Linked DNA regions of Xenopus tropicalis. The protein of the gene in region 1 purifies or fractionates together with the protein of each later gene. This does not show direct contact. Links are inferred from orthologs where the notes say so. Each region holds a gene or a part of one and is shown in the gene's direction. Other genes may lie near its edges. The genes, in order: mtmr2, sbf2, mtmr12, sbf1 and mtmr10.

The links.
Region 2: the proteins of mtmr2 (region 1) and sbf2 purify together in Homo sapiens (affinity purification with mass spectrometry; 3 studies listed by BioGRID and IntAct, with this or other methods). This does not show direct contact. The link is inferred for Xenopus tropicalis from reciprocal best matches to the Homo sapiens genes MTMR2 and SBF2.
Region 3: the proteins of mtmr2 (region 1) and mtmr12 purify together in Homo sapiens (affinity purification with mass spectrometry; 5 studies listed by BioGRID and IntAct, with this or other methods). This does not show direct contact. The link is inferred for Xenopus tropicalis from reciprocal best matches to the Homo sapiens genes MTMR2 and MTMR12.
Region 4: the proteins of mtmr2 (region 1) and sbf1 purify together in Homo sapiens (affinity purification with mass spectrometry; 6 studies listed by BioGRID and IntAct, with this or other methods). This does not show direct contact. The link is inferred for Xenopus tropicalis from reciprocal best matches to the Homo sapiens genes MTMR2 and SBF1.
Region 5: the proteins of mtmr2 (region 1) and mtmr10 purify together in Homo sapiens (affinity purification with mass spectrometry; 5 studies listed by BioGRID and IntAct, with this or other methods). This does not show direct contact. The link is inferred for Xenopus tropicalis from reciprocal best matches to the Homo sapiens genes MTMR2 and MTMR10.

The regions. Positions count from the first base shown.
Region 1 is NC_030678.2:164,724,213-164,730,015, reverse strand, and holds the start of mtmr2 (myotubularin-related protein 2), read left to right. Parts: upstream 1-1,768; 5' UTR 1,769-1,856; intron 1,857-5,803. UniProt on the Homo sapiens protein: Lipid phosphatase that specifically dephosphorylates the D-3 position of phosphatidylinositol 3-phosphate and phosphatidylinositol 3,5-bisphosphate, generating phosphatidylinositol and phosphatidylinositol 5-phosphate.
Region 2 is NC_030680.2:7,292,613-7,298,721, reverse strand, and holds the start of sbf2 (myotubularin-related protein 13), read left to right. Parts: upstream 1-1,990; 5' UTR 1,991-2,107; coding exon 2,108-2,162; intron 2,163-6,109. UniProt on the Homo sapiens protein: Guanine nucleotide exchange factor (GEF) which activates RAB21 and possibly RAB28. Promotes the exchange of GDP to GTP, converting inactive GDP-bound Rab proteins into their active GTP-bound form.
Region 3 is NC_030677.2:200,723,268-200,728,642, forward strand, and holds part of mtmr12 (myotubularin-related protein 12), read left to right. Parts: intron 1-820; coding exon 821-957; intron 958-3,849; coding exon 3,850-3,943; intron 3,944-4,053; coding exon 4,054-4,183; intron 4,184-5,375. UniProt on the Homo sapiens protein: Acts as an adapter for the myotubularin-related phosphatases. Regulates phosphatase MTM1 protein stability and possibly its intracellular location. By stabilizing MTM1 protein levels, required for skeletal muscle maintenance but not for myogenesis.
Region 4 is NC_030679.2:89,325,468-89,331,515, reverse strand, and holds the start of sbf1 (myotubularin-related protein 5), read left to right. Parts: upstream 1-2,261; 5' UTR 2,262-2,327; coding exon 2,328-2,382; intron 2,383-6,048. UniProt on the Homo sapiens protein: Acts as an adapter for the phosphatase MTMR2 to regulate MTMR2 catalytic activity and subcellular location. Promotes the exchange of GDP to GTP, converting inactive GDP-bound Rab proteins into their active GTP-bound form.
Region 5 is NC_030679.2:96,951,975-96,958,063, forward strand, and holds the start of mtmr10 (myotubularin-related protein 10), read left to right. Parts: upstream 1-2,239; 5' UTR 2,240-2,540; coding exon 2,541-2,597; intron 2,598-2,952; coding exon 2,953-3,013; intron 3,014-6,089.

The DNA.
Region 1 (5,803 bases):
ATCACATAAAGGGGTGGTCCAGTGACATAAAGAGGTACTGGGTGATTATGGGAAGGGGTTGGCTGATGATGCAAAGGGGCAGAATACATTTGTAATACTTTACAGTAATAGCGGCACTTGCTTTACATGGTATTTTACTGGCTAGGCGAATGAAATACCGGCTGGGTGGCTGGTCAGTTAGAATGAAAGACCAAAAAAGGAATAGGAGATAATGGGAATAATAACAAATGTGGCTGCAGAATGGCCCAGACAGCCAGGTAGCACTGTAAATATGGGGTTACAGAAGGCAGAGCATAAATAATTTAAATGTCCAACTGGAAACAAAAAATGACATTTTATTTATTATACATAGAAACATGGTGGAGTTATACATAGAAACAGGTGGAGTTTCCCTTTATAGTGTTCCTCTTGGCGCAGATGAAGGCAGGAGAGCAGCTGCAGAATATCAGGGTGCACATAACAATACAGCATCTATATATATATATATATTTCTCCCCCAGCATCCTCCAGCTCCCTCCGTAGAATCCTCCAGCTCCTCCCCTCCCCCAGCATCCTCCAACTCTCCTCCCAGCATCCTCCAACTCTCCTCCCAGCGTCCTCCAACTCCCCCACCCCGTGTTCTCCAACTTTCCCTCCAGCATCCTCCAACTCACCCCCCCTTGTGTTCTCCAACTTTCCCCCCAGCGTCCTCCAGCTCCCCCCCCCCTCGTGTTCTCCAACTTTCCCCCCAGCGTCCTCCAGCTCCCCCCCCTCGTGTTCTCCAACTTTCCCCCCAGCGCCCTCCAGCTCCGCCCCCCAGCATCCTCCAACTCACCCAATGTCCTTCTCAGCATCCTCCAACTCACCCAGTGTCCTTCTCAGCATCCTCCAACTCCCCGTGTCCTACAGCTTCCTCCAACTCACCCAGTGTCCTTCTCAGCATCCTCCAACTCACCCAGTGTCCTTCTCAGCATCCTCCAACTCACCCAGTGTCCTTCTCAGCATCCTCCAACTCCCCGTGTCCTACAGCTTCCTCCTGCTTCGTACGGCTGTGTCCCCAGGCTCCCCCGCTGCATTCTCACTTTTATACGGTTGCACCCCTTGTGTACTGACGTAAAATGTATGCACTGGGCGCGCCCAACAGGATTATTGCTGACCAATGACAGGAGCCCGGAATTGATTAACCCTTTAATGGTAAAATCGCCCGGCCCGGGATGTCCCCCCGATGGCGGCCCTGGGACTGGCCCACCAGGATACCAGGGAAACGCCAAGTGGGCCCGGGTGTCAGTGGGCCCTCCTGCTTCTATTTACCAGAGTTGGCCCATGGGGGACACAGGAAAACTCCCGGGGGCCTATTTCTTGGGCATTCCCTATTCCTGTATGAGAAGAAAGAGATACTAAAGAGACTAAATGAGCAAAGGAGGAATTACAATGGGCAAGTGGGAATAATAATAAAAGGTTTCCTGTTGGCCTCTGGCATCTCAGTCCCACACTGGTAGCATCTGAGCCTCGGCTTATTTAGCCACCTGAGACCGCTCAGTAACCCCATTCCTACCCCTCTCCTGTCCCCCTTCTTGGAATGAGTGGCTTGTATTTATATTATTGCCGCCTGCGGACTAGTTCTCCCATTACGCCATAGCACAAGCGCCCCTGTGCCACAGACGGGACAAAACTGTGACACCTGCCCTATAATGTGGGAGGGACTGCTCCGGCCCATGGTTAAGCCCCGCCCTGGGCAGGTTGCGCCTATGCTCCGCCTGTAGGTGTCGCTGTTGCCGCTAGTGCTGGCCGTGCGCATGCGCTGCTGGTATCGCGATCCCGAAGTGCAGAAAATATCTTGGGGTGCGGGAAGAAGCGCCCCCCGATCTATCAGCCGGGTGAGTAAGGACTCGGGAGTGCGGGGCCGGGGAGTGGGTTGCGCTGTAAGACGAGTAGAAGCTGAGCGGGTTAGAGCTCTGGGTCAGGAATCGCCAACCTGTTGCTGCACTACAACCCCCAGTATCTCCCGAATGGGAAATCCTTGCGGTGGGATTGTGGGAGTTGTAGTTCCGCTAAATCTCAGGCACCGGGGTCTCACTGATTGTTTCCGCACCAATAACAATAATAATAACAGTAATGGTACCTTCCTGCCTGGGGCAGAGTTGGGCACAGTTGGCTTCTCTCTCATATTGCGGATCAGGGTACAGCTGGGGCTCTGTTACACAAGGAACTACAAACACAAACTTAGAGAAGATACTGGGAGTTGTAGTTCCGCAACAGATCCTGCCTTTTCTGCAAACATGGAGGGCCCCTGGCAATGTAGGGATGTGGGATGCCCAGCCTGCAGCCCTCCAGTTGTTGTACTACAACTCTCAACATCCTCCAGACATTATTTGACTTGTAATTGGGGCAGTCAGGGGCCTCTAACTGTTATTGATCTGCTCTACTGTACCCCAGAGAGGGGGTTGGGGTGCCCAAAGCTGTTATTGGGGCAGGGGCAAGCAGCTAAACACCAGTCTGGGTAAGATTTGCTATAGGCATGAGTCAGTATAGTACATATCCTGTTATAAACTAATGGGGGGGGTTGAACCCAGCCAATCAGTACTTAGCTTTGACTTCTTCATTACAGTTAGGGGTGATTTATAGCCTGTGTGAGTGCCCGCTGCCCAGCTGTCAGTAAGAGACAGGTCACGGCATTGCCCAGCCAGTGAAGCAACAGCTGGGGGTACAGACATCTGTGCAGCTGGCTCCCCAGGGGGGCAGAATACAAGTGTATTGTTATAATGTGTGTGTACAAGTGTATGTGTATAATGATATATAATGTATATATAGGTGTATAATGATAATATACATACAAGTGTATTGTTATAATGTGTATGTACAAGTGTATGTGTATAATGATATATAATGTATATATAGGTGTATAATGATAATATACATACAAGTGTATTGTTGTGTAAGGATAAATAGTGAGATGCCAGTCACACCCAGAATCCTCTTGTGTTGGGAACGTAAATATAATTATATTCCATTAGTTTCCCTGTAGCAGTTAATGAGGCGCTGGGGTATAAAGGGCAGCTCATTTATTGAAGTGCAACTGTCGGCAGAACATTGGCCAAGTTGGTTCGGCTAAAAGCTGCCCATACACGGGGAAGGACTGCTTGTTTGGTGGGTGAGGCCAGCCGGGTGCTAGCCCAAATCAGGCTGATCTAGTCCTATTCCCAGGGGCTTATCCAGACCCATCAGGGGAGGGCCCCCTCCTCCACATGCTGGCACCCCCCCTTCCCCAGTGACTCTGGGTTTCCTTGTCCTTTAAAAGAACAATACCCTGTGTGCAGATTTCCTTTCCACTTGTGGAACCTGTGGTTCTGGTGTGGTCTCTCCCTAACCAGGTCGGAGGTCTGGAACCTGTTGTGTTATATATTGTTATAATGACATAAATATAGCAATAAAATTAGAAAAATAAATCCGCAGAAGGCTGCAGGCTGAGTTATACGGGGAACTCTGAGTATCACTCATGTATTATAAGGGATAATGTACCCCCTACTGTAAATGATAAGGATATTAGCAGTCACTGAGGGGTTCTGTGCCCATATAAAGGCACAAGGCTGCAGGCTGAGTTATACAGGGAACTCTGAGTATCACTCATGTATTATAAGGGATAATGTACCCCCTACTGTAAATGATAAGGATATTAGCAGTCACTGAGGGGTTACTTGCTGTTGCTATAGAGTAACGCAGCACTGAGTGCTAATATTGCGTGTCGATACACCAATAGGGAAGCACAATAAAACAAAGCTTGTGATAAAACTGCTGATTATCCCAGTTAATGAAAAAGGGAAACGCTGCAAGAATCAGCTGATCAGTTTGGCTTTCTATCCTCAGCCTGAAGCATCTTTCCATCCACAAATATATTATATTTCTGTAGATGAAGGGGAACCCCACCTAAAACCTGTTTTTTACCTAATGAAAGAAAATAAAGTTAATTGTAAAAATACCTGCTCCTGAAAGCAGTGTTTGTTTATCCCTTTCTCTTCTCTGGTTCTGATAAGCTCCTCCCCCATTTGGCTGGTTCTGATAAGCTCCTCCCCCATTTGGCTGGTTCTGAAAAGTTCTCCCCCGTTTGGCTGGTTCTGATAAGCACCTCCCAATTTGGCTGGTTCTGATAAGCTCCTCCCCATTTGGTTGGTTCTGATAAGCTCCTCCCCATTTTGTTGGTTCTGATAAGCTCCTCCCCATTTGGTTGGTTCTGATAAGCTCCGCCCCTGTTTGGCTCCTGTGCTGCTAACATTCTATCCTGCGAGGAGCTGCCATACTGTGTAATTCTGCCCCAGGTTTGCTCATTACCCAGGCAAACAGATAACACATGACGGGCACACCCAAACACGGGCACATTTGCGCCATTCCAAATAAACGTGTGCGTGTATGTAAGCATGTTTGGGTGTGTTTGTCTGTTATCTCTTGTGTCTGACAGAACCACCAAACCTGTGGTTTTTACTCCACACCCTGTTAATTAGGGCATCTCGTTAGGCTGGGAGAGAATGAGAAGCACATATTATTTTTATTATCCTTTATTTATATACCAACATATTCCTCAGCGCTTTACAGAGATTATGCATCAGTCCCTGCCCCAGTGAGCTTACAATCTAAGGTCCCTATCCCATTCCCATCAGTCCCTGCCCCAGTGAGCTTACAGTCTAAGGTCCCTATCCCATTCCCATCAGTCCCTGCCCCAGTGAGCTTACAATCTAAGGCCCCTATCCCATTCCCATCAGCCCCTGCCCCAGTGAGCTTACAATCTAAGGTCCCTATCCCATTCCCATCAGTCCCTGCCCCAGTGAGCTTACAATCTAAGGGCCCTATCACATTCCCATCAGTCCCTGCCCCAGTGAGCTTACAATCTAAGGGCCCTATCACATTCCCATCAGTCCCTGCCCCAGTGGAACTTACAATCTAAGGTCCCTATCACATTCCCATCAGTCCCTGCCCCAGTGGAGCTTACAATCTAAGGTCCCTATCCCATTCCCATCAGTCCCTGCCCCAGTGGAGCTTACAATCTAAGGTCCCTATCACATTCCCATCAGCCCCTGCCCCAGTGAACTTACAATCTAAGGCCCCTATCACATTCCCATCAGCCCCTGCCCCAGTGAGCTTACAATCTAAGGCCCCTATCACATTCCCATCAGTCCCTGCCCCAGTGGAACTTACAATCTAAGGTCCCTATCACATTCCCATCAGCCCCTGCCCCAGTGAACTTACAATCTAAGGCCCCTATCACATTCCCATCAGCCCCTGCCCCAGTGAGCTTACAATCTAAGGCCCCTATCACATTCCCATCAGTCCCTGCCCCAGTGGAGCTTACAATCTAAGGCCCCTATGACATTCCCATCAGCCCCTGCCCCAGTGAACTTACAGTCTAAAGTCCCTATCCCATTCCCATCAGCCCCTGCCCCAGTGGATATTACAATCTAAGGTCCCTATCACATTCCCATCAGCCCCTGCCCCAGTGGAGATTACAATCTAAGGTCCCTATCACATTCCCATCAGTCCCTGCCCCAGTGGAGATTACAATCTAAGGTCCCTATCACATTCCCATCAGTCCCTGCCCCAGTGGAGCTTACAATCTAAGGCCCCTATCACATTCCCATCAGTCCCTGCCCCAGTGGAGCTTACAGTCTAAGGTCCCTATCACATTCCCATCAGCCCCTGCCCCAGTGGAGCTTACAGTCTAAGGTCCCTATCACATTCCCATCAGCCCCTGCCCCAGTGGAGCTTACAATCTAAGGTCCCTATCACATTCCCATCAGTCCCTGCCCCAGTGGAGCTTACAGTCTAAGGTCCCTAT
Region 2 (6,109 bases), on another chromosome or scaffold:
GTGTCTATCTAGAGCACCTTAAACACTTAGCTTTATGCCAACTTGCTAATGTCCTTTTCCCACTGCTGTTGGTCTGTTCCAGGCTCAATTCTATTCTTCTCTGTAATTATGTCCTGTAGGAACCCGGGCTGAACCAGCAACTGTGCCAGCGTTCTGCCTAACCCATAAACTATCCATCCCTCTATCATCTATCTAAGTGCTCTCTCTCTATCCATCTATCATCTATCTATCTATCGTCAGTCTAAGTGCTCTATCTATCATCTATCTATCTATCGTCAGTCTAAGTGCTCTATCTATCATCTATCTATCTAAGGGCTCTATCTATCATCTATCTAAGTGCTATATCTATCATCTATCTATCTAAGTGCTCTATCTATCATCTATCTATCTACGGGCTCTATCTATCTATCAGTCTAAGTGCTCTATCTATCATCTATCTATCAATCTCTCTATCATCTATCTATCTATCTATTTATCATCTATCAGTCTAAGTGCTCTATGTATCATCTATCTAAGGGCTCTATCTATCTATCTATCTATCTATCTATCTATCTATCTATCTATCTATCTATCATCTATCTATATAAGTGCTCTATCATCTATCTATCTATCCATCTAAGTGCGCTATCATCTATCTACCTGTCATGTGTCTATCTATCTATCCCCCGGTGGGAATCAGTGCCTGTAATACCCCCTGACAGTGCCAGCACCCAGCACCGAGCCCCGGTGGGAATCAATGCCCCTATAACCCCCTGACAGTGCTAGCACCCAGCACCCTCAGCCCTGGGGGGAATCAGAGCCCCTGTAATACCCCCTGACAGTGCCAGCACCCTCAGCCCTGGGGGGAATCAGTGCCACTCATACCCCCTGACAGTGCCAGCACCCAGCACCCTCAGCCCTGGGGGGAATCAGTGCCCCTGTAATACCCCATGACAGTGCCAGCACCCTCAGCCCCGGTGGGAATCAATGCCCCTAATACCCCCTGACAGTGCCAGCACCCTCAGCCCCGGTGGGAATCAGTGCCCCTCATACTCCCTAAAAGTGCCAGCACCCTCAGCCCCAGTGGGAATCAATGCCCCTAATACCCCCTGACAGTGCCAGCACCCTCAGCCCCGGTGGGAATCAGTGCCCATCATACCCACTGACAGTGCCAGCACCCTGAGCCCCGGTGGGAATCAGTGCCTGTAATACCCCCTGACAGTGCCAGCACCCAGCACCCTCAGCCCTGGGGGGAATCAGTGCCCCTGTAATACCCCCTGACAGTGCCAGCACCCTCAGCCCTGGGGGGAATCAGTGCCCCTCATACCCCTTGACAGTGCCAGCACCCTCAGCCTCGGTGGGAATCAGTGCCCCTCATACCCCCTGACAGTGCCAGCACCCGGCACCCTCAGCCCTGGGGGGAATCAGTGCCCCTGTAATACCCCCTGACAGTGCCAGCACCCAGTACCCTCAGCCCTGGGGGGAATCAGTGCCCCTGTAATACCCCCTGACAGTGCCAGCACCCAGTACCCTCGGTGGGAATCAGTGCCCCTCATACCCCCTGACAGTGCCAGCACCCTCAGCCCTGGGGGGAATCAGTGCCCCTGTAATACCCCCTGACAGTGCCAGCACCCAGTACCCTCAGCCCTGGGGGGAATCAGTGTCCCTGTAATACCCCCTGACAGTGCCAGCACCCAGTACCCTCGGTGGGAATCAGTGCCCCTCATACCCCCTGACAGTGCCAGCACCCTCAGCCCTGGGGGGAATCAGTGCCCCTGTAATACCCCCTGACAGTGCCAGCACCCTCAGCCCTGGGGGGAATCAGTGCCCCTCATACCCCCTGACAGTGCCAGCACCCTCAGCCCTGGGGGGAATCAGTGCCCCTCATACCCCCTGACAGTGCCAGCACCCTCAGCCCTGGGGGGAATCAGTGCCCCTCATACCCCCTGACAGTGCCAGCACAGAGCACACTAAGCCTTGAAGGAAGAGAAAGCTCGGCCCCGCCCCCTCCTGGGAATCTCCCCAGTGCGCCTGCGCGCCGCTCAGCTTTCCCTGCGCCCAAACATGGCCGAGCTGCTGCGGCCAAGATGCTGAGGTTTTCCGCTGGAAGGGAGGAAAGAGCGCAGCCATGGCTAGGCTGGCCGACTACTTCATTGTGGTGGGTTACGACCATGAAAAGACTGGTAAGTGCGATGGCGCCCTGCGGGCGAAACACTGGGAATATTGCCCTGGGCACTGGGGTAGGAGGGGGATGCTGGCAGCCTGGACACCCCTACACTTCTGCACATGCAAACACCCCCCCGTACCCAGTGCATGGCGTGGCACATACCATGTTATACAAATAGGGGTGCGGGGGATGGGGTGCATGGCCTACTGCCTGTGTCCCCCCCCCCCCCTGTGCCCCAGTGTTTAGCAAGTTGGGATTGTGTCCCTCCACCCCTCATGTCACATCCTGAGTGACGCACAGGGGGATGTCCTCTCCCAGCACAACACTGGGCCAAGCCTTCTGCTGTGTATCTGTGTGGGGGGATGCAGCCTGGCATTGCCCCCAACATTCACCCCTGCCTGCCGCAGGGAAAGGGTTAATTGGGCTACACTCCCAGGGAAGCAAAGGGTTAATTGGGCTACACTCCCAGGGAAGCAAAGGGTTAATTGGGCTACACTCCCAGGGAAGCAAGGGGTTAATTTTGCTACACTCTCAGGGAAGCAAAGGGTTAATTTTGCTACACTCCCAGGGAAGCAAGGGGTTTCCCACTCTGCACCCCAATATTAAGGAAGGGTCGCTCAGTCTGCACCCCCACATGAGGGAAGTGTTACCCACAATGCTCTTCTAACATAGGGAAGGGTGGTCTCCCCTCAGAACAGCTATTGGAGGGGAAAGGTTGGCCGCTCTGCACCCCCACTGGAGGGAAAGGTTGGCCACTCCGCACCCCCACTGGAGGGGAAAGGTTGGCCGCTCTGCACCCCCACTGGAGGGAAAGGTTGGCCGCTCCGCACCCCCACTGGAGGGAAAGGTTGGCCGCTCTGCACCCCCACTGGAGGGAAAGGTTGGCCGCTCCGCACCCCCACTGGAGGGAAAGCTTGGCCACTCCGCACCCCCTCTGGAGGGAAAGCTTGGCCACTCCGCACCCCCACTGTAGGGGAAAGTTTGGCCACTCCGCACCCCCACTGGAGGGAAAGCTTGGCCACTCCGCACCCCCACTGTAGGGGAAAGTTTGGCCACTCCGCACCCCCACTGGAGGGAAAGCTTGGCCACTCCGCACCCCCACTGTAGGGGAAAGTTTGGCCACTCCGCACCCCCACTATAGGGGAAAGTTTGGCCACTCCGCACCCCCACTGGAAGGAAAGCTTGGCCACTCCGCACCCCCACTGGAGGGAAAGCTTGGCCACTCTGCACCCCCACTGTAGGGGAAAGTTTGGCCACTCCGCACCCCCACTGGAGGGAAAGTTTGGCCACTCCGCACCCCCACTGTAGGGGAAAGTTTGGCCACTCAGCACCCCCACTGGAGGGAAAGCTTGGCCACTCTGCACCCTCACTGGAGGGAAAGCTTGGCCACTCCGCACCCTCACTGGAGGGAAAGCTTGGCCACTCCGCACCCCCACTGGAGGGAAAGCTTGGCCACTCCGCACCCCCACTGTAGGGGAAAGGTTGGCCACTCTGCACCCACACTGTAGGGGAAAGGTTGGCCACTCTGCACCCCTTGCTGGCAGCTGCCCTGTATAGGAAGCCACCATTTCTGCGCACCTGCCTGCAGGCCCAGGGTTATTATCTTTGAAAGAAAATGTGTAATAATTGCACATTGTGCAAAGACACCTGTATAACCTGTTCCTACTGTGTTTTGGTTGTGGAGAAAGAGAGGTGTGTGTCAGGAAAGGATGCTCAGTGATGCCTGCGGCTGCCAGTGGCTTATGGGAGTTGTAGTTCAGTAACAGCTGGAAAGAAGCAGAGAGGTGAATATGTTCTGGTATCCGTCCCAGTTTGGCAAGAAGATGCTCTGGGGCAGTACCGGGCCTATGTACTGTGTATATGCAATAACCTTACACAGGAAACCGAAACAGAAAAAGGGAACACATTCCGCTCAAGTGCAGATAATCTATTTATTCCTAGGGCTCAGCTTCCAATGTATTCTTCTTTTAGGAACAGAATAATCTGCACAGAACATTCCTTCCCTGCCAGATTGCATGGCTTCATTTGCGTAGGGGGCAGCCATATTGCTCTGCCAGCTGAAGAAACCTCCGCAGGCTGTAACGGAACAGCCACCGTGCTGCTGCCATGTACATGGGGCTTTGTAGTTTCCATTGAAAGAGTGTAGGCCTCGAGCTATAATGTGGGTTCTGCTCATTTGCAGAGAAGGAACATCTCGTGCAGATCGTACCAACGCTTTAACTTTACAACCCCTGAAAACGAGCAATGAATGGAAGCTTCCTTTTAATTGGGCAGTGCTTTACTTCCCCTTTAAATTCCCTCACCCTGATTATTGGCCGTATCTTTGTGTTGGATCAGCTGGTCGGATCCCACTTCTGGATCAGAGAGAGAAATAATCTGGGAACAAAGCTGCCCATTATATCATATAATATATAATTATATTTCCGCTCGTTATGTTTGTCAGACAGGGAGTGGAAGTTGCCTGTGGGGCCTAAAGGGGTTGTTTACCTTTAAATTAACTTTGAGTATTATGTATGAGTAATATTGTGAGAAAGTTTGCAATTGGTCTTCATTTTTTTTTATTATTTGTGGTTTTTGAGCATCTTATTTAGCAGCTTTCCAGCAATCTGGTTGTCAGGGCCCACATTTTCCAAGCAACCATGCATTGATTTCAATGAAAGACTGGAATACAAATTGGTCTTCATTATTTATTTTTTATATTCTTTTAATTATTTGCCGTGTTCTTCTGATTCTATTTAGGTTTCCAATGAAGAGGGTCGCTGACCCCAGCAGCCAAAAAACTATTGCTCTGTGAGGCTACAATTTTATTGTTATTGTTACTTTTTATTACTTATTTTTCTATTCAGCTCCTCTCCTATTCATATTCCCGTCTCTCATTCGAACCACTCCCTGGTTGCTAAGGTCATTTGAACCCTAGCAACTAGATAACTGCTGGAGTTCCAGACTGGCAAGTTCCGGAACAAAAAGTGAAATACATTTATGGACTTACTGGCAAACTTGGAGCTTTCTAAACCCGTCGTGTGGTGCCGTAGCTTTGGGCTGATCCATTGCCGCAGTATAGTAAGTATAGTATGGCAACTCCCGCTCAGTGCTGCTTTCTGCATACCCAAAATAGACCTTAGCGCAACACCTTGCGAGGCATTAGTCTTGATGCGTGTTGCTTCTCTCCATCATTTACGCCCACATCCGAGCATCTCGCTGCTTCACGTGGAAGTGTCGGGCAAGGTGGTGTATGATGTTGCCATGGAGATGTGTCGGGGAAACGTCGTCGGCCCATAATTAGCAGAAATACCTAAGTAATACGTTCTGTTCCGGCAGCAGCCAGGTTGAAGGCTCGTTTAGCTGCCAGTTTTGTGAGTAAATATGGTATGTGAATATCCACTGGGCTGCGCTCGCCACTTTGGGCGCGTGAAAGCGGCTCTAAACAGAAACAATTCGATACATTAGTGTCGGAAATACTAGCAACGAATGTATCCAATTGTAACTTCTATATAACTACTTCCACTGTTGCTGGGGACCTGTTAGCCTAGCAACCACTCAGTGCTTTGAATGGCAGACTGGCCGAATCCCAAAATAGTGGATTTGGTGCATCCCTAGTAATAATATAAAGACTGGCTTGAGTTAAAGTACAGGTATGGGATCCCTTATCCAGAAACCTGTTATCCAGAAATTATCCGAATTATGGAAAGGCTGTCTCCCATAGACTCCATTATAAGCAAATAATTTTCATTATTAAAGATGATTTCCTTTTTCTCTGTAATAATAAAACAGTACCTGTACTTGATCCCAACTAAGATATAATTACCCCTTATTGGGGGCAGAACAGCCCTATTGGGTTTATTTAATGGTTAAATGATTGCCTTTTCTCTGTAATAATAAAACAGTACCTGTACTTGATCCCAACTAAGATATAATTACCCCTTATTGGGGGCAGAACAGCCCTATTGGGTTTATTTCATGGTT
Region 3 (5,375 bases), on another chromosome or scaffold:
AGACAGCATGTCTGAGGCAGACATTTGTTGCAAGAGCAGAAAAAAACATATCCACTAATGCCTGGTGTAACTGGCCTTTTCTGCACAGTTGGCCACTTGTTGCATTCACTACCGCTAAAAACCCTTCAAGGTCATCTGCTTTGTTGTTCCTTTTCTATCTTTACCTGGAATCTCAAGTTTCATTAAGCAATATTAATCAACCAAATCACAAGTTAATTATTAAGCTGGGAGCGTCAGCGGAGGAAAGATAAGCTGCAGTTGCAAAAGCAGTCTGAGCCAGGGCTCTAATATAAATTCGACTAGTCAGACTCTTAAGGTGGCCATACACGGGCAGATTGTAGCTGCCGATATATGTCCTTTAGACTCATTCGGAGGCTTATCGGCCCTTGTATGGGTACTAACATCTGACCTGAAATCGGCCAGCTCTCGATCAGGCCTATACCCGCCGTTCTAATGGGCTGAATTAGCCTGATATTGCCCACCCTTAGGTGGGGATATCGGGAGAACATAAAGGTTGGGCAAATTTGCACCTAAGCAGTAATTCATGGCAACCAATCAGATGATTGTTTTCAGTGTTCAACCTGCAGTAGGATGGAAAAATCTCACCACTGATTAGTTACTATGGGTTACTGCCCTGTCTTTATGAATTATCCCCACTGTGTTCTGCCTTTCCAGAATGGCTGATGCCAACCTGGGGTTAGCCTATTGAACACTGCCTGCTCCATTGAGAATGGAAAAAGTTCTTTGTAAAACTATACATCATATGTTGGTGTTATATGAATAAAGTATAACAGTAATAGCATTTTATTTTCCTTTTCAGTATATGATGATAAAAAGAAAGCTATTCTGTCCGGGCAAGGTTTGAAGAAATACCCAGAACGGCTCATCGTCTATTGCAAGGACTTCCGTGTGTTTCATTTCTGCCTCAGCTACACTAAACAAGAGGAAGTCAAGAGGGTAAATATAGCAGCCAGTCTTACATTCTCAGGAGACCACTGCTCATTTGTGCCTGAAGAATAACAGCCTGCTGTGGCTAAACAAAACAGAGCTTTAGATGTCCTGAAATAGGATGAAATATAGTATAGTATTTACACCCCTTCTGAGCTGACCCCACATAGCAGTAGAGGGAATGTAAACTGCCTCAAATACTCAACATAATCACTTTGGCAGAGCTTGTCTCATTGCTAGGATCATTGACTGCCTTAGCAACAGGATCTGTACTGCTCTCTCTAGACTTTCCAAATGGCCAGCTAGTGGAATGAATACTCTGCCCCCTTTGTAAAGATTATCTGGAACTTTTATTTTATATGAGTGCATAGCCCCCCTTCCCCCACATTTGCTGCATTTGCTTCTCCTGCTATGGGACTAACTTTCTCTGCATGTTGGTGAATCCCACACTGATCTTCTGATCACGCTGCATCAAATTTATCAACTTCACCTAAAGAATGGGTTGTCCTTTGTGTTTTTCCAGTTCAAGCCTCACTTAGATGTCCAACCTTTTGCCGGGGCTCACCTTAAGGGCAGGGGTACACGGGGAGATTAGTCGCCCCGCGATAAATCTTCGTTGTCGCGGGCGACTAATCTCCTCGCAATGCCATCCCACCGCCTAGAATGTAAATCGCCCGAAGTTGCCTTGAGAGGAAACTTCGGGCAACTGCGGGACATTGCAGTGACGTGTATGCCATCCCACCGCCGATTTACATTCTAGCCGGTGGGATGGCATTGCGGGGAGATTAGTCGCCTGTTCAGCACGTTCAATTGTGTCACATTGTGATCCCTGAAGTGGGTGTTTATGGGTTTAGACAGAATGCCGTTACTTTGCTCTGAACACACCTGAATTACAGACCAGACCAGGCATCCACCTTGACTACAGCACCAAAGTCTGTGAGAGTTTTACCACATTATTTAGAGTGAATGGAGAGATTTAAGATTGGAGAGGATTCCTACGGGACATAAAAATATAAATGAACCAATAAAAGCAAGGCAGAATCTGCCATCGGTTTAAAGCTAGGAAAGCCCTACAATTTAAGTGGCATTGTTTTTTTTTATTCCCTTTATATATACATTATCACTGGCCAGTGTGAAAGTGAAAACAGTAGTAATGTTCCCTTTAACAGAGTGAAACAGAGTACTGTACAATGAACGTAGACATAAGGTATTTTTTTGTGCATAACCTGAGAATTCTGTCCAAGGGAAAGTTTATGCGGTTAGAGGTTTGGCCTATTCTGTCTGCTCTGCGGGCCTTGTGAATTGATCAAGGTATGCGACGAGTTCACATGTAGGAGTAAATGAAACTCTGCGGCGCACCAAAAGTTTGTTTACAGGGGAAGTTCTGAGAAAAAGGAAATGAGCAGCAATCCTCCCACCCCAGATGCATCACAGCCGCAGCAGCTCTGTGTAGCACCCAGACAGGAAGCGTATTCATTTGTCAGCCATCAACTAGCTAAAAGCTTCTTGATCTTGCAAAACAAGATCAAGAAGCTTTTTGAAGTGTGATATACAGACAGTAACAAGAGCTTCTCTTGGGCGTTAAGTCATTCTGTGCATTAAGCTACTAAGCAATGCCCTCCCTTTTAAGCAAAACAGGGATTGTTTGTCCCTATATTGCAATATATACAAGCTGCCCAACTGTGTCACAGTCACCCCGGTCTGGCCAGTCCTACACTCACTCACCCCCGGTCTGGCCAGTCCTACACTCACTCACCCCCAGTCTGGCCTGTCCTACACTCACTCACCCCCGGTCTGGCCAGTCCTACCCTCACTCACCCCCGGTCTGGCCAGTCCTACACTCACCCCCGATCTGGCCGGTCCTACTCGCTCATCCCCGGTCTGGCCGGTCCTACACTCACTCACCCCCGGTCTGGCCAGTCCTACACTCACTCACCCCCGGTCTGGCCGGTCCTACACTCACTCACCCCCGGTCTGGCCGGTCCTACACTCACTCACCCCCGGTCTGGCCGGTCCTACACTCACTCACCCCCGGTCTGGCCGGTCCTACACTCACTCACCCCCGGTCTGGCCGGTCCTACACTCACTCACCCCCGATCTGGCCGGTCCTACTCGCTCATCCCCGGTCTGGCCGGTCCTACACTCACTCACCCCCGGTCTGGCCAGTCCTACACTCACTCACCCCCTGGTCTGGCCAGTCCTACACTCACTCACCCCCGGTCTGGCCAGTCTTACACTCGCTTTCATCTGATTCATTAAGAATTCTACTGCTTCAATATACATTTAGCAAAGGGACTGAGTTTTACCTGCAACTTACTTGCTTTTAAGGCCAAAACACCCAAATGGTTGCCCTTTTATTGGCTCCACTGGGATCACCTGACAAGCCAATAAAAGGGCAGCCATTTGGTGATTTTAACCCTGAAAGCAAGCAAGTTGCAGGTAAAATTCAATATTTTTGTTAAATGTATATTTAGATTGTAACAGGACAGGGACCTGTTGTCTCTTTGATTCTTAACTTATTGCAGCCATAACTTGTATTTATTTGTGTTTATTATCATACTTTGTATTTATCTATTATTGCAGTAACCCCCAGCACTGCGTACATAAGTGGCACTTTATAAAGATATACATACATACATTCATAAATAAATACATACATACAAGCAGTAAAATTCATAATGAATCAGATAAAAGCGTGTGTAAGACTGGCAAGACCGGGGAAGACTTTGACGTAGTTGGCCAGCTTATATAATATATATATATGTACGTATGTAATACATGAATATACATGTGTAAAATGTAAGGGATGGCACTAGGTATGTATCCCAGCATCAGTGAAGTTGATTTGCACCCTGCTGAGTGTGCCTTTTTATTAATAAGTGTGTTTTTTCCCCCCTGCAGATTGTGAGCGGTATAATTCATCATACTCAGAGCCCTAAGCTACTGAAACGGCTGTTCCTTTTTTCATACGCAGCAGCCGTCCCACGATACAAAGGTTAGTGTATGTTAATTATTTTATGTTGATGCAGGCTAATGTATTTCATTATGCAAGAAACAGGAAGCTCATTTGGCCTTACAATTATTATATTTTCTGCCCTTTTGTAGTAACTTCCTTTATGGAAAAGACGTTGATGTTTGAGACCGTGAAGGACTGGATGGCAGAGCTAGAGCGGACTAAAGGCAACTTGCATTACAAAGTACTGACTGCCAATGAGGGCTACAAAGTATCGGAAAGGTAGATTGAACACTGAGCGGATAGATGTTAAAATAGATACTTGCCACATTGATGCGCATCAGGTAGTGCGCATCAATTTATTGCTGTGAGGCACAGGGCTCGTAGGAGGTATTTTAGCCTGTGGACCTTATCCCTGTTCTTGAGGAATATGAACTTTAAAAGATCATTCATAATCCCCCATTTTTGTGTGAACAGAGTCAGGGTCATTTATAAACACTAGGCAGATTTGCAACTGGGCAGTTACCCATGGCAACCAATCAAGTGTTTGCTTTCATGGTTGTATTTGCAGCTGGTGAAGAAAAGCGAATCACTGATTGGTTGCTATAAGTTATTGCCCAGGTGCTAATTTGCCCAGTGTTTATAAATGTGCTCCAGTGTCTTTTTTTTTTTAGCCTGTTCCCATATGAGGTGCCATGTTGGGGGAACCACAGAATTATTTTGGGGGGTTTAGCTTAATACCAGATCCTTCAAAAAAGGGTTGGCTAAATACCTTTAAAGGAGAAGGAAAGGTACAATCACTGGGGGGTGCCAAAATCATTTACCTGATACCCCGGGCCGGTGCTCGTCCTAGGAGAAAACTGCACCAGTCTGGGGTACAGTACATACGCCCAGTGATTGTAACTTTCCTTCATCTTTAAAAAAAATTCTTTGGTTGTCCAAAGCTTTAAAGTGGAAGTTGACCTTTTTGGGTAAGAACTAAACAAAACAAAAAAATACACTGTCTGATCCTGTCTAAGGATACAAATTTGGTGCAGCTGAACACTAAGGAATCAGTTTTCAGTTGTGACATTCCCATGATCCTGAAAACTAGACACGCACAGGATGCAGAACCAATGCAGTGCATCAGTAGTTTAAAGATTCTAGGGAGTGTCACAAATGAATATCACTATTTTTTGAAGAGAAGACACTCAGTGAGCAATTCAGGCAGAATTCTTCATTACAAGTAGTTTTATTGGAATACCATGAACAATCGCCCTATATTTTTCATGTTCAGAGACACGTAATCTTAGGCTTGTGATTAAGTAGTCCAATAAAACTAATTTTAATGAAGAATTCTGCCTGAAGAATTGCTCAATGAGTGCCTGCTCCCCGAAAAATGATGATAGCTGAAGGCTCAGGGTGGTGCAATTAGCTGAAACACTCCTGTAGGCTGTATTTGCTAATATATATAGAATATCTGTTTTCCACTCCA
Region 4 (6,048 bases), on another chromosome or scaffold:
GACTTGTGGATGTTATAGCCAGTAACTGAATATATCATCTCATAAACTCTGCTCTAAAATCTTCTGAACTTAGGGCATTGACACAATGTGTGGTATGCTGTACCCTCTTCTCCACATCCTCTAAAACATAATGGGCTATATGCACTGTAGGGACTTGTAGCTAGACTCCAATAATGAAGTGTTGATGGAGCAATGAGCTACTGAATTACAATTTCTTTTCTCATATCTGCTTATATGAAAGGGTTGAAGTAAATGAGATTTCTGATCTCAGTATGGTATGAGCAGGATACAACCCTTTAGAGTAAGGAAAGGTTGTACATGCTTCTAAATATGAAGACAGAGGAGTGTCCTGTCCTTCATGCTTTGATTTAAGAATATGGGAGACCTGAACGAATCTATACTATTCCCGGAGGTGAGCTGAGTAGGTTTGTTGGAACTTTTCCTATTTAAAGGAGAAGGAAAGGTAAAAACTAAGTAAGCTTTATCAGAAAGGTCTATGTAAATACAACCATAAGCACTCACAGAAACAGTTTTTATCAAAAGAAACACAGGATTTTGTGTTTTCTTTTTTTTGAACATGTTCTTCAGTATCACACTTGGTCTTTTTTAGGGCTTTCAGCTTTGGGGCATTCTCCCTCTCCTCCTCCTTTCTCCTGCTCCCCCCTCCCATAAGACTGCATAAGAACTCCCTGCCCCCTCCCTTAGGAATGTGTGATATGAGCTTCCAACGGCTATAACTGCAGCAGGAAGCTACCAAGACCAAACTAAAATGGCAGCTGCTATCAGAGGGAGCTTCTAGGGCTCTTTACCCAGGTATAGTACAGCTTTCTGCTGAATAAATATAGCATTCTAGGTGGCACTAATGTGGCTAATCTACTGGCAGTAAAATGCCAAAACGACTTTCCTTCTCCTTTAAGAGGGCCAGAGTGTCCATACATATTATTCAGAGTGTTAAGGCCCTTTAACTCCCACCACTGAAATACTCTTCTGTCTATGCCTGGGAGAAATCCTGGATTTCCTATGATAGGGGCTGCAGAGCTGTGAGAAGATTGTGTTGTGTTTTATATTGTCCCAGATTTGGAGAGTATTTTCCAACACTGAAGATAAACTGTCGGGCCTAGAGACATAGGGAACCCAGGACACAGCATTACGTGCAATTTGATAAGTTAACCCATTTAGGTGGTAAAGAGGCATGAAATAAGGGAATTGCTGCTAATTGTGAAGCCTGATAATATTTAAGAAAATCTGGGACACCCAAACCACCTTTAGATTTGGACATTAATATTGTTAGTTTAGACCAGGGATCCCCAACCATTCTTAATCGTGAGCCACAGTCAAATGTAAAAAGACTTGGAGAGCAGCAATAGCATCATAAAAGTTCATGGAGGTGCCAAATTAAGGGCTAAGAGGGAGTCTCTATGCACACTATCAGCTTACAGGAGGCTTTATTTGGTAGTAAATCTTGTTTGTATTCAACCAAAACTTGACACCAAGTCAGGAATTCAAAAATAACTACCTGGTTTGGGGGCACTGAGAGCAACATCCAAGGGGTTGGTGAGCAACATGTTGTTCACTAGCCACTGGTTGGGGATCACTAGGTTAGAGACTCTAAGTGGTTTGGAGTGCCAGATGTACTCAGAATGTTTTAAGTACATTCTGTTTCCAGTGTTTAACAATTTTTTTCATTGGCGTGCAGTCCCTTTTTTCGGGGGGGGGGGGGATCAGGGGAAGGACACAGAAATAAAGAGTGAGCCATTTACTATGCTGCCACAAAAGATCTATCTACAGAAGCACTATGAATGTGCAAAAGGCCTGTTTGGGTCAATAATGAACCACTTTTTGCACATTTTTCAGAGTGCTTCTGCATAAAGATCTTATAGTTGTACTTTAGTCTAACCACCTTACAGAGGTGATACTTTGCCATTGGTTAGTAAGTGTACATATTTACACCTTAATAAGTGTACCTATCTACTAATATTATTTACCTAGCGCTGCGGACGAAGACAGTCCGCTGTCAGTAAAGATACACATGGTTAAATAGTCCCGCCCTTCGACCTAGAGAAACACAAGCCAAAGGCCCATTTGCCAGTTTGTTACGCCCACGTGAGGGCACAACGTTTAGATTTTCGCGGGGCACATCATCCTTCCTTGGCATCAACCAACGTGCCCTCCTCCTGACCCAATGCAGGACTCCGCCCAGCGCTTCAGCCCCACCCCACGACCCTGCCCAGATTCGGTCATGCGCAGTCCCTGGCCCGGCTGGCAGGAAACATGGCGGCCACGGGACGAGTTCGGGGCTAAGGAAGCGGCCCGGGGAACGGGGTGACATGGCGAGACTAGCGGATTACTTCCTGGTGGTGGGGTATGACCTGACTAAACGAGGTGAGAGAGGCGGGCCTGAGGAGTATTAAGAAAATTGATCTTTTGTGAGAATGGGGTGGGGTTGAATACCCGGAGCTGTGGAGGGTGAGCTATTTAGTCAGAAGGAAGCAGGGATGCGCACTCCCAGACTTCTTATCTTGCCCGAATGCGTATGGTGGTTTGCGTTCTTATTCATTCAGTGCCCGGTATAGAATTACGGGATATATATCTTAAAAGCCGCATGAGGGCCGAACGTGGCCGCATTCGCTAAACAGAGCTGCGGGTGATTGGGGGTTACTCAGAGGCAGTGCTTGTTGTGGGTCTGTACTGAATATGTACGTGGGAAATGGTGGAAGCAGTGGGTGTGGACGGGCTATTCTACAGGGGCCGATTCATTTCTGTGGATGTGGTGAAATAAATGAATGTGGAATAACTATTGAACGACAGAAAGGGTGACACTTGTATTCCAGCTATAGCTGGGGTGGCTCAGGGTAACATTAAGCCGCAGCTTTGATGGGCTGCTCCATACAGCTTTCATTTGTGGCTCCCCAGTGAATAACCTACTGCAGCCATCAGTAGCCTAATGGAATATTTGATTGATAGTTGGGAGGGTTATACATTGTTTCTTAAAAAGTGCTAAGGGAACAATGTAAATGTATTATCACCATCATTATTTACACCACATAGTTCCGTTGCTTTTCCTTATAACATGCAGCTCTAGCTATTAATTTAAAACAACTGCCTGTAAAATGCTCTGAGGAGAGGTGATGCCGCATCTAGGCAACATGTTTCCCCTATATATCTTTGTGGGAAGCATCGGCAGACTGTTTTCCTCCTGAACAGTGGCCAATATATACCATCTTCCATATAAAATAAGATCCACTTGTATGGTAATGTTGCCATTTGGCCATGAAGACCTCCGATTACACGGGACCTGGTTCAGACCAGTTGGAAGAGAAATGTATATTTAACTCGATGTGGTCCTCAACTAATAGGATTTTCCACCCTGATTAATTACCCTGACCAGATCTCTATTGGTGAGGCCATCATTTTGGTCCCATACAAGAAGCAATAATCAGTGTGCCAGGTCAAAAAATGGCTAAATCTGCAACCACATACAGATAGACCTTATATTTTGCTCCTTCCACTGAGTCCTGTAAAGTTTTTTTAGTTTTTTTTAATCTAGAGATTCAGCTATTAACATTTTGTGAATGTATTGAACATTATATTGTACTGTCCTTTCAGTGGATATATGACTAATGAATGTATTAAGAGAGTAAACAGAATTCAAGCTCTGTCTATTGTGCTCAGGTAGTTATTACTTCACTAAAGAGAGTGTGCTTCTCTCGTTTGTTTTCTTGTTTTTATCCAATCTATCATCATCATCATTGAAAGGCATATATTGTACTGTTTCACTGTTTGTGTTATCTTTGTTTTTAACTATGTTGAGTTAAGGGAACAGTAACACAAAAATTGAAAGTCTATCAAAGTACTAAATATATAACGTACTAATGCCCTGCACTGGTAAAATTTGTGTTTGCTAATCATAGTTTTATAATCATAGCTACTCTGTAGTCGGGGGGGTAGTTATTCAGATTGAAAAAAGGAGAAAAGGCATATGTTACATAGAAAACAGATAAGATGTGTTATTCTTGTATCTGCTATGTAACCTGTGCCTTATTTTTCTCCTTTTTTTCAATTTGAATAGCTACCCCCAAGGCTACACAGTAATCTTGTTTATATATACTATAGTAGTCTTTCTGAGGAAAACACAACACTTTTACCAGTGCGGGGCAGCAGTACATTATAGCTTAATTATTTTAAAGGACAAGTCAAAATATGATTTTTTTTGCCTATTAAAAGAAAACATAATTCTAAGCAACTTTGCAATACACATTTATACATTTGTAATGGTTTTTGACTTATTTGTATTTATAATTGCTATTAGTAGTAGTGTTTGCCAGCCCTTTTCTATTCTCTGCCCTGGTGGCTCTGGTATTTGAAACAATGTAACACAAGGCAGCAGACTGACAGGCCTGTCTTACTGGAGGAGACTGACCTTTGCAACATTGCTGAAAAATTAACAACCAGGAGTTCAGCAAATGCTACTTTCAGTAGCAATTACATATACAAATAAATTTTAAAGCACTAAGACTTTTCAATAATTTCACATTGAAAGTTTCTTGTAATTGTTTTCTTTTATTAGGCAAAACATTATTTTTTTAGTTGACATGTCCTTTAAAACAATTTCTAATTTTTGTTGTTGTTACAGTTCCTTTAAAGGGTGTATTGCAAAATGTAAGAGCACACACCTTGTGATATATAATAGAAGTGCAAAGACACTGGAGAAAACCCATTTAGTAACTCCAAACATAATCAAAAGAGCAAAAAGTATCTGCACACTCAGAAAAAGTAAATGCAAAAAGAAAATGTATTAATTACAAAATCGCATCATAAGAAACATAGCCCAACACGTTGCAACCCAATAAAGGGTCTTCATGAGGGGCAAAAAATGCCCCCTTTTTAATTTTTCCCCTGATGAAGACCCTTTACTGGGTTGAAACACAATGGGCTATGTTTAATTAATGCATTATCTTTTTGCATTTACTTTTTCTGAGCGTGCAGATACTTTTTGCTTGTTTGATTACCTTTAAAGTGTGTAGGGATACTGCTCTGGGGGGCATGGTCACTGTGTATGTGTAATATGTTGTTAAATGCAATTTTTAAGAGAACAGTCCCAGTTTAGTCTAGAACATTCTGAAATGTAACATATATCTACATGTCAGTGCTTATTATGAGCAAGGGATGTAACAGACACCACTGTATTCAGTACTTGCTAAAGAGAGTCTTGCAGATGTTTTTGCTGTATAGTAGCAATTATGCAGGCAGTACGCTTTGATTTTATTGGCTTAGTGGCTCTAGGGTTTCCCTGCATCACTTGTGCTTAATTCATAACAACATTGGAGATTAAGGCAGGGGTGCTGTGTGCAATTATGCCAAAGTGCAAGCAGTGGGTTTGGACATTTATTATCTTAGTTAATGGAATTTTTCAAAAAAAACAATTGCAGCAAATTTTTGCCTCAATTGGAGTTGTGGTCACACAGTAAAGCTGGCCATACACTTGGTGATGTCGCCAAGCGAGTGGATCTTCACCCGATATCCCCACCTACGGGTGGGTGATATTGGGGAGGCATGTAGGCGAATTAGATCGTTTGGCCCTGGGGCCAAACGATCGAATTCTACGCGCAGCAATGGGGCAGTCGTTTCGGGGACTGCATCAACGATCCAATGTGGTCCCCGATCCGACTGGATTTTCTTACCTGGCCGATCGATATCTGCCCAATTTCAGGCCAGATATCGGTTGGCCAGGCCCCTCGGTTCTGCCCCTACACGAGACCTTAACTCCTACAATCTCTGTAAATTGTTCTGAGATATGTTAAGTCTCTATAAACAAAATATAATAGGGTTGTGCCAAATCAATAGTTTTTGTATTTAGCTTGATATGGAACCTTTGCCAAAGGATTCGTCTGAATACTAAAGAGAAGCTATATGCCAATTTGTATATTAAAATTTGGGCAAAAGGAAAAAATGTATTGTAGGATAAATAGTTTTGCTTTTAGTTGCTTAGGCCTTAAGGCGCATTATGATACAGGCCAAAACATCCCTGGTGTGGATTTCATCTAGGGA
Region 5 (6,089 bases), on another chromosome or scaffold:
TGTCTAAACTTTATATTTTCAATATTATGAAAAAATTTTTTTATGTTAGTTCCCCTTTAAAAATTTCAAATAGGACTAGAGAATGAGAATGATTCCTAAATGTGTTGGAATACTAGTTTGCCGAGACACATGTTTTTAATGAATAAATGTTATCCCTTTTTACTCCTGCTCTTACTGTGTGAAATTTATATTTGGATAAAAACCTTACATTTAAAGAACTCCTTAAACAAATTATGTTTTTAGATTTACTGTTAACAGTCTGTTGTCTGGTTTACAACAGAAAGGACATGCCCTCATTGGAGATCAGAGGTGTAACAACAGTGTGCCATGCCACCCAAAAGAATCCATTCTCCCCACAAAAATCTGTCTGTTGCTATCCAAGGATTCACTTACGTTGCAGCCATAATACTGGCTCGTAATAATGTGGCTAGTTTTCTGTATTAGATATTCAAATGTTAAAGTGATACTGACACGAAAAAACAACTTTTTAAAATATAAATCTACATAAAAAGTTGCCTATAGGTCATGTTGATAATTTTTTACTGATAGGGCTGCTTTTGTAAGTAATTGTTATTGAAATCCCAAAACCTGACTGTTTTGCCAACCTGACTGTCCCTTCTCAGCCTGTCAGTTATAGCTTCTAACGCTAACAGACTCCTGCTGGACAAATATGGCCGCCCCCTCATAGGGGAACATGGGGGATCAGATAGGGAATGTAAAAGCATCAGGCAAATACTTTTATGGCAAAATTATAAATAGCATGCAAAGGCAATGTAATGATAGATGTAAAAATGGTTTCATTTCTGGTGTCCGTATCTCTTTAAAAAGGCTTTTGCATATATATTTTACTTACTTTAACTTAATCTAGTGTTTGGGTGCTCAGAACAGGGTGGTTAGAACCCTAAAGCAGTATCCTGTTAGGTGGACTCCCTTCTTACAAGCCCTAAAGCAGTATCCTGTTAGGTGGACTCCATTCTTACAAGGCCATTTTAAGATACTAATGGGCTACAGCAAAGATCCTTCCTGTGAGACCCTTTATTCTGGCTTAAATCTTGCAAGAAATGTATTGCATTACTGCTCCAACCCCACTAAAAAGGGGTTTAGCATACATAATGAAACCTCTTTGCCAAAAAATTCAGAAGATATAAGGAGTAACAGCCTCCATCTTGGTACTATTTTAACTTTTTGCTTTTTTTAAAGGGGAATTAAGCTCACAATGAATATGGCTAGAAACACCATCGTTTATATACTGAACTTGGTGCACAAGCCTAAACATTCATCATTTCTATAATAGTAATGATCTAGGCCTTTAACGTTGTGCATAGGATCTTGTATTTTGTTAGGGATGTCAGTGATGCTGCGCATGTTCAGTGTGCTCTGAGTAGCTGTTGAAAAGCTAGGTTTAGGGTCAGTACAAATCAGCATGCAGAAAATAAGATTCTCATATAATCCAATGCTTTCGGGCTGGTTACTAAATCCTGAGCAGGGAATTACAGGCAACTTCGGAAAACCAAACACCTGTAAGCCTTCCTATTGGCAATTCACTTTATTTTCAGTGGAAAGGAATTTTGGAGAGATTACTTGCCCTCCATAGCCAAGAATTAACTGTGGGTGAGCAATTTCCCCATGTGCCACTGCCCTAAGTACTGTGCCTCTGTTTGCATTGCCTCTTTAAACTGCTTTCACTCTCATTGTTAAGCCAGTCACAGGCATTCCAAGCAACAGTACAGTAACTGTTTATGAGCTATTCATATAAAGGGGAATAGATGTGTATTGTGGTTTAGTGCGTCTGATGCAGGGACCATATATAAAATCCCATAAAGCAAAATTGTCTTCCATTGTTTGCAAAAAAAGAAACCCGAAATAGTTGAGAATAGGGTTGCCAACTTTTCTAGAAAAAAAAATACCGCCCTTCCTATCGTTTTTTCTTTCTGCCCTCTTTATAAGTTTGGGCTCAAGCGCCATTTTTACCAGACAGGCCGATAAAATACCTGCCAGGAGGCAAGTCTAGTTGAGAACCAGGGGCGCAATCTTTTAAAAGTGTAGTAGTAAACGGAAATTGAAGTAACAAAATATAATTGGAGTTATTATTCTTTTATAAGACTCCTCTGAAGAGCATAGGCACAAACAAAACAACCTGAGGTGGAATGAACAAGGAAGGGATGTGGAGGAAATGCAAGGCAGCCGCAGCAATGCATTATTCGGTCAGCAGATGGCGCTGCACAACTCCATAAGCACAAGCAGGAGAGCAGCAGTTCTGCACATGTGCACATCCAGGGAAAGAGAAGGGGGACAGGCTCACAGGAAATCAATGCAAATACTCAGTGCGTGTGGGAGAGACTCTCACACGGGGAAATGTCTGCCCTGAGACGCAACAAAAGCCAGAAAAGCCCAGTCATGAAGGAGGCTGGACGAGTGCTGGAGGGACTGCACTGAAACCCAGGGCTCAGGAGAGGAGCTGCCCTGTGTGCTTTCTGTTCCAGCTGGCTTCGGGCTTCCAGTTCTCTGGGCTACGGAACCATACTACTTGTGGCTCAGCAATGTTCTCTCTCAGGCAACCCAAACCTTCCTTTAAATCCTACCTTCTGCCCCCTCAGGTGAGTGGCTAGTCAGGCGTTACACATCTGTGTAGTTCTGGATTTTAAGCCCGTTGCCGTCTCATTGCTGCAACTCCCACCAGGCTGGCTGAGGATTCTGGGAGTTGAAGCAGAGTTGCAATTGGGCTGCTGTTATTCTGACGTGACATCCCTGGCAGGGTATAGAGATCCGTGCATCCCAGCCTCTGATTGGCAACCTGTGGCTGCTTAGTGTGGGTTTTCAGTATCAAGATTTGGGAGTTGTAGTTTACAAACACAAGAACTGGGGTGTCAGGTTTCTTGGGGTGCACACACACCTGCCTGCATGTATGTTTGCACCCACATTAAGTTTGATTTCTTTATCAAATTTTTGCAGCAAGAAGACAAACTAAATCCAGAGACAAAGATAAAAAAGTTGAAACCTGTCCTTCTGCCAGGTAAGTGATTATCAGTGAGATGTAGCGGATTGATGGCACGCTAATATGGCACAGAGGTGCCCAACCTCTAGCACTTTGTCTACATAAGAATGCTGGGACATGTAGTTCAGAAGTTTGGAAGCATGGTGTTGGTTTCAATTGTTTTAACAACTATTTGGAGAACACACTATAAATATGTGCTAATTATTTGCTTAAAAGGTATTTGCCAATAAATTACATAATAATATGTTAATCAGTCGCTATAAACATCATTATATCTTAAGGGCAATTGTAATTAAATTGATTTATTCTTTTATTGGCGGCTTTATGTATCAAGCATTACGGCAGGGTTAATACAAGCTGATGCACCATGCAGAAAAGGGCTGACATTTGTGCTGCCCCATTCATTCAACTGGAATGTGAGGGCAGGCATCTCTGCTGGAGAGAAGGCATGGCATGTTCTCTTCATTTTGCAACCCCCCTAACTTTGCCTCCTAGGGATCAATGTGGGGGAGGGGGGTATTATAAAAAAAGCTACCCACAAAGACTGGCACTTTTACATCCCAATGGCAATGTTACACTCAGATTGTGAAAGTTTTCTTGGCTTGTATAAAGCTAAGTAATGTCTCATGCTTTGTGTCCCATAACTCCACTTTGGGTGCCATACCCTTTCTCCTTTTAGATTACAAGCTTTATTGAGCAGGGCTCCTTTTTTACTCTTATAGTGCATTTCGAATTGACGTATACCCCTGTTTATTGTACAGCACTCTGCTGTTAGCAGTAAGGGTGCTAAATAAAATGCACGTGGTTTGCCTTATTTTAAGCCTAGCAGTTGAACCTGTGCAGTGACTGGAATATATGTTGTTCTTTATAGCAAGGTGTGATGAGCAAGGTGTGATGCTGCATTTGGCAGGATATATATATATAGATATCGGTCTATATAATATGTTACAGCAGATTGACATATTTCTAATTTAGCTACTGATTGAAATCCCTTATCCCTTATGTAGTGAATTGGAAAGAAGTTTGAAAAGTATCTAACATGGTGTACAGCTTGTCCCAGTGATTGGGCTAGGGGCACTTGCACTCTTGTTCTAAAAGCCAACTTTATTTCCATGCAAAAAGGGGGCTCTGAATGCTTCAGTGAATACAATCCTCTTCCGATCCCCTGCATGCAAATCAGCCTCAGGCATACGCAGAATAGTGAATCGGGCCATTCTAGCAGACACCACAGTGAGACACATTACTAATCTGACCGTGCCCAAGGCATTGATTTGCATTCCTAGGAAAGGAGTTGGTATATCCAAGGCAAAGAAGATTGCTAGAGTGGGTATATCCACGGCAAAGATGATTGCTAGAGTGGGTATGTCATAGACAAAGAAGATTGCTAGAGTGGGTATATCTGAGTCTTGAAAAAAAATATTTCTTCCTACTTGGAGTGAGCCAACCATGACTTAGCATTGAACCTGAATTGCGTTAAAGGCAAGTGGTTATCAAAAAACTTGTCATCCTAAAGCTCTGAAGCTCTGGTGTACCCTATTTAAATAACAAATAATAAGTCCCTTGTAGTTGATGATAACTAGGATAAATCCATGTTGTCAAAACAATGCAGTTAGTTTGCACCTTTTGCCCACTGGCATTTACTAACTTGTACATGACAAGCAGGTGGAATGGGGGCACCTATATTCCTTCCTCAGCCCTTTTCTCATAATTACAGTGCTGTTGAATGCTGGTACTGAAATATTTATGGGGGGTAGTGCAGGTCTTTAGGCTTCACTCTGAAGTGTAAGTCTCTGTGGCCTGTTCTGCAAAGTTCTAGGCAGGGTGCTAAGATGTGAAATGCATGGTTGGTTGTAACCAGTTTTTTGCAATTTGCATATGTGTTAAGGGAGATGGTGGGATTTGTAGTTCTAAACTGCAAGAGTGATGGTAAAGGTTTCTTACCTCTTGCATGAAGTGTAAGTGGCTTTAATCTGATTTAAAGTGATATTGACAGCCACTTAATTTTTTTTTTTTTTTTTTACACCTGCTGTTGTGTTTTCATTTGTATCAGCTTTAAATTCCTTATAAACTAAATCTGCAAAGTGTTTTCGCTTCATAATTATGGTAGCATGAATTACAGACCCACGGAGCTGTCATGTTTGTTCCCCTCTTCCGGGTTTTAATTTAAATGCCTCCCAAGTGAATAAATATACCCAATCACAAACCTGCAATGCCCATTCTGCTTTCAGTCGGTGTGTGACAAGCTCAGCTCCGTTGTCTATGTGTAATGGGGAAGGGGAGGGAGAGCCCTTAGAAGCAGGGAGGGAGAGCCCTTAGAAGCAGGCAGGCAAGCAAGCACGGGAAAACTTAAGCTGGCCTGCTATTTAATTCTTTGTGGGAAGAGCAGAGAGGGGGCACAGCCCTTTGAAGTAGGCAGGCAATAGAAAGATCAAGCCTGCCTGCTATCTAGTTCACAACACCATGCAATGCTATGCGAGGGAGGGAGGAACGGAGGGGGAACTCTTTGAACCAAACGGCAAGCTGAATCTTCCCAGTTTATGACATAGTCCTTTTGACAGATTGAAAAGCTACAGTCGGGTTGCCAGACAGTCGGGTTCAGGATTTTCAGTAGGATTTATGTAGAGAAACAAGACTTTTAGGAAAAAACAGTCAACATTCTTTTTTCCCATAAAAACAATCAACGCACCAGAGGTCACCCCTTTAGATTAGAGGAAAGGAGCTTCCATTTGAAGCAGCGTAGGTGGTTTTTCACGGTGAGGGCAGTGAGGGGGTTGGGGAATGCCCTTCCTAGTGATGTGGTAATGGCAGATTCTGTTAATGCCTTTAAGAGGGGCCTGGATGAGTTCTTGATCAATCAGAATATCCAAGGCTATTGTGATACTAATATCTACAGTTAGTACTAGTGGTTGTATTTATAGTTTATGTATGTGAGTGTATAGATTGGTAGGTGTGGGTTAGGTGTGCTGGGTTTACTTGGATGGGTTGAACTTGATGGACACTGGTCTTTTTTCAACCCTATGTAACTATGTAACTATGAACTATAGGTAGGTTTGGAAGTAGGTTCATATTTTTATAAGAAATTTTTTGGTGTCGG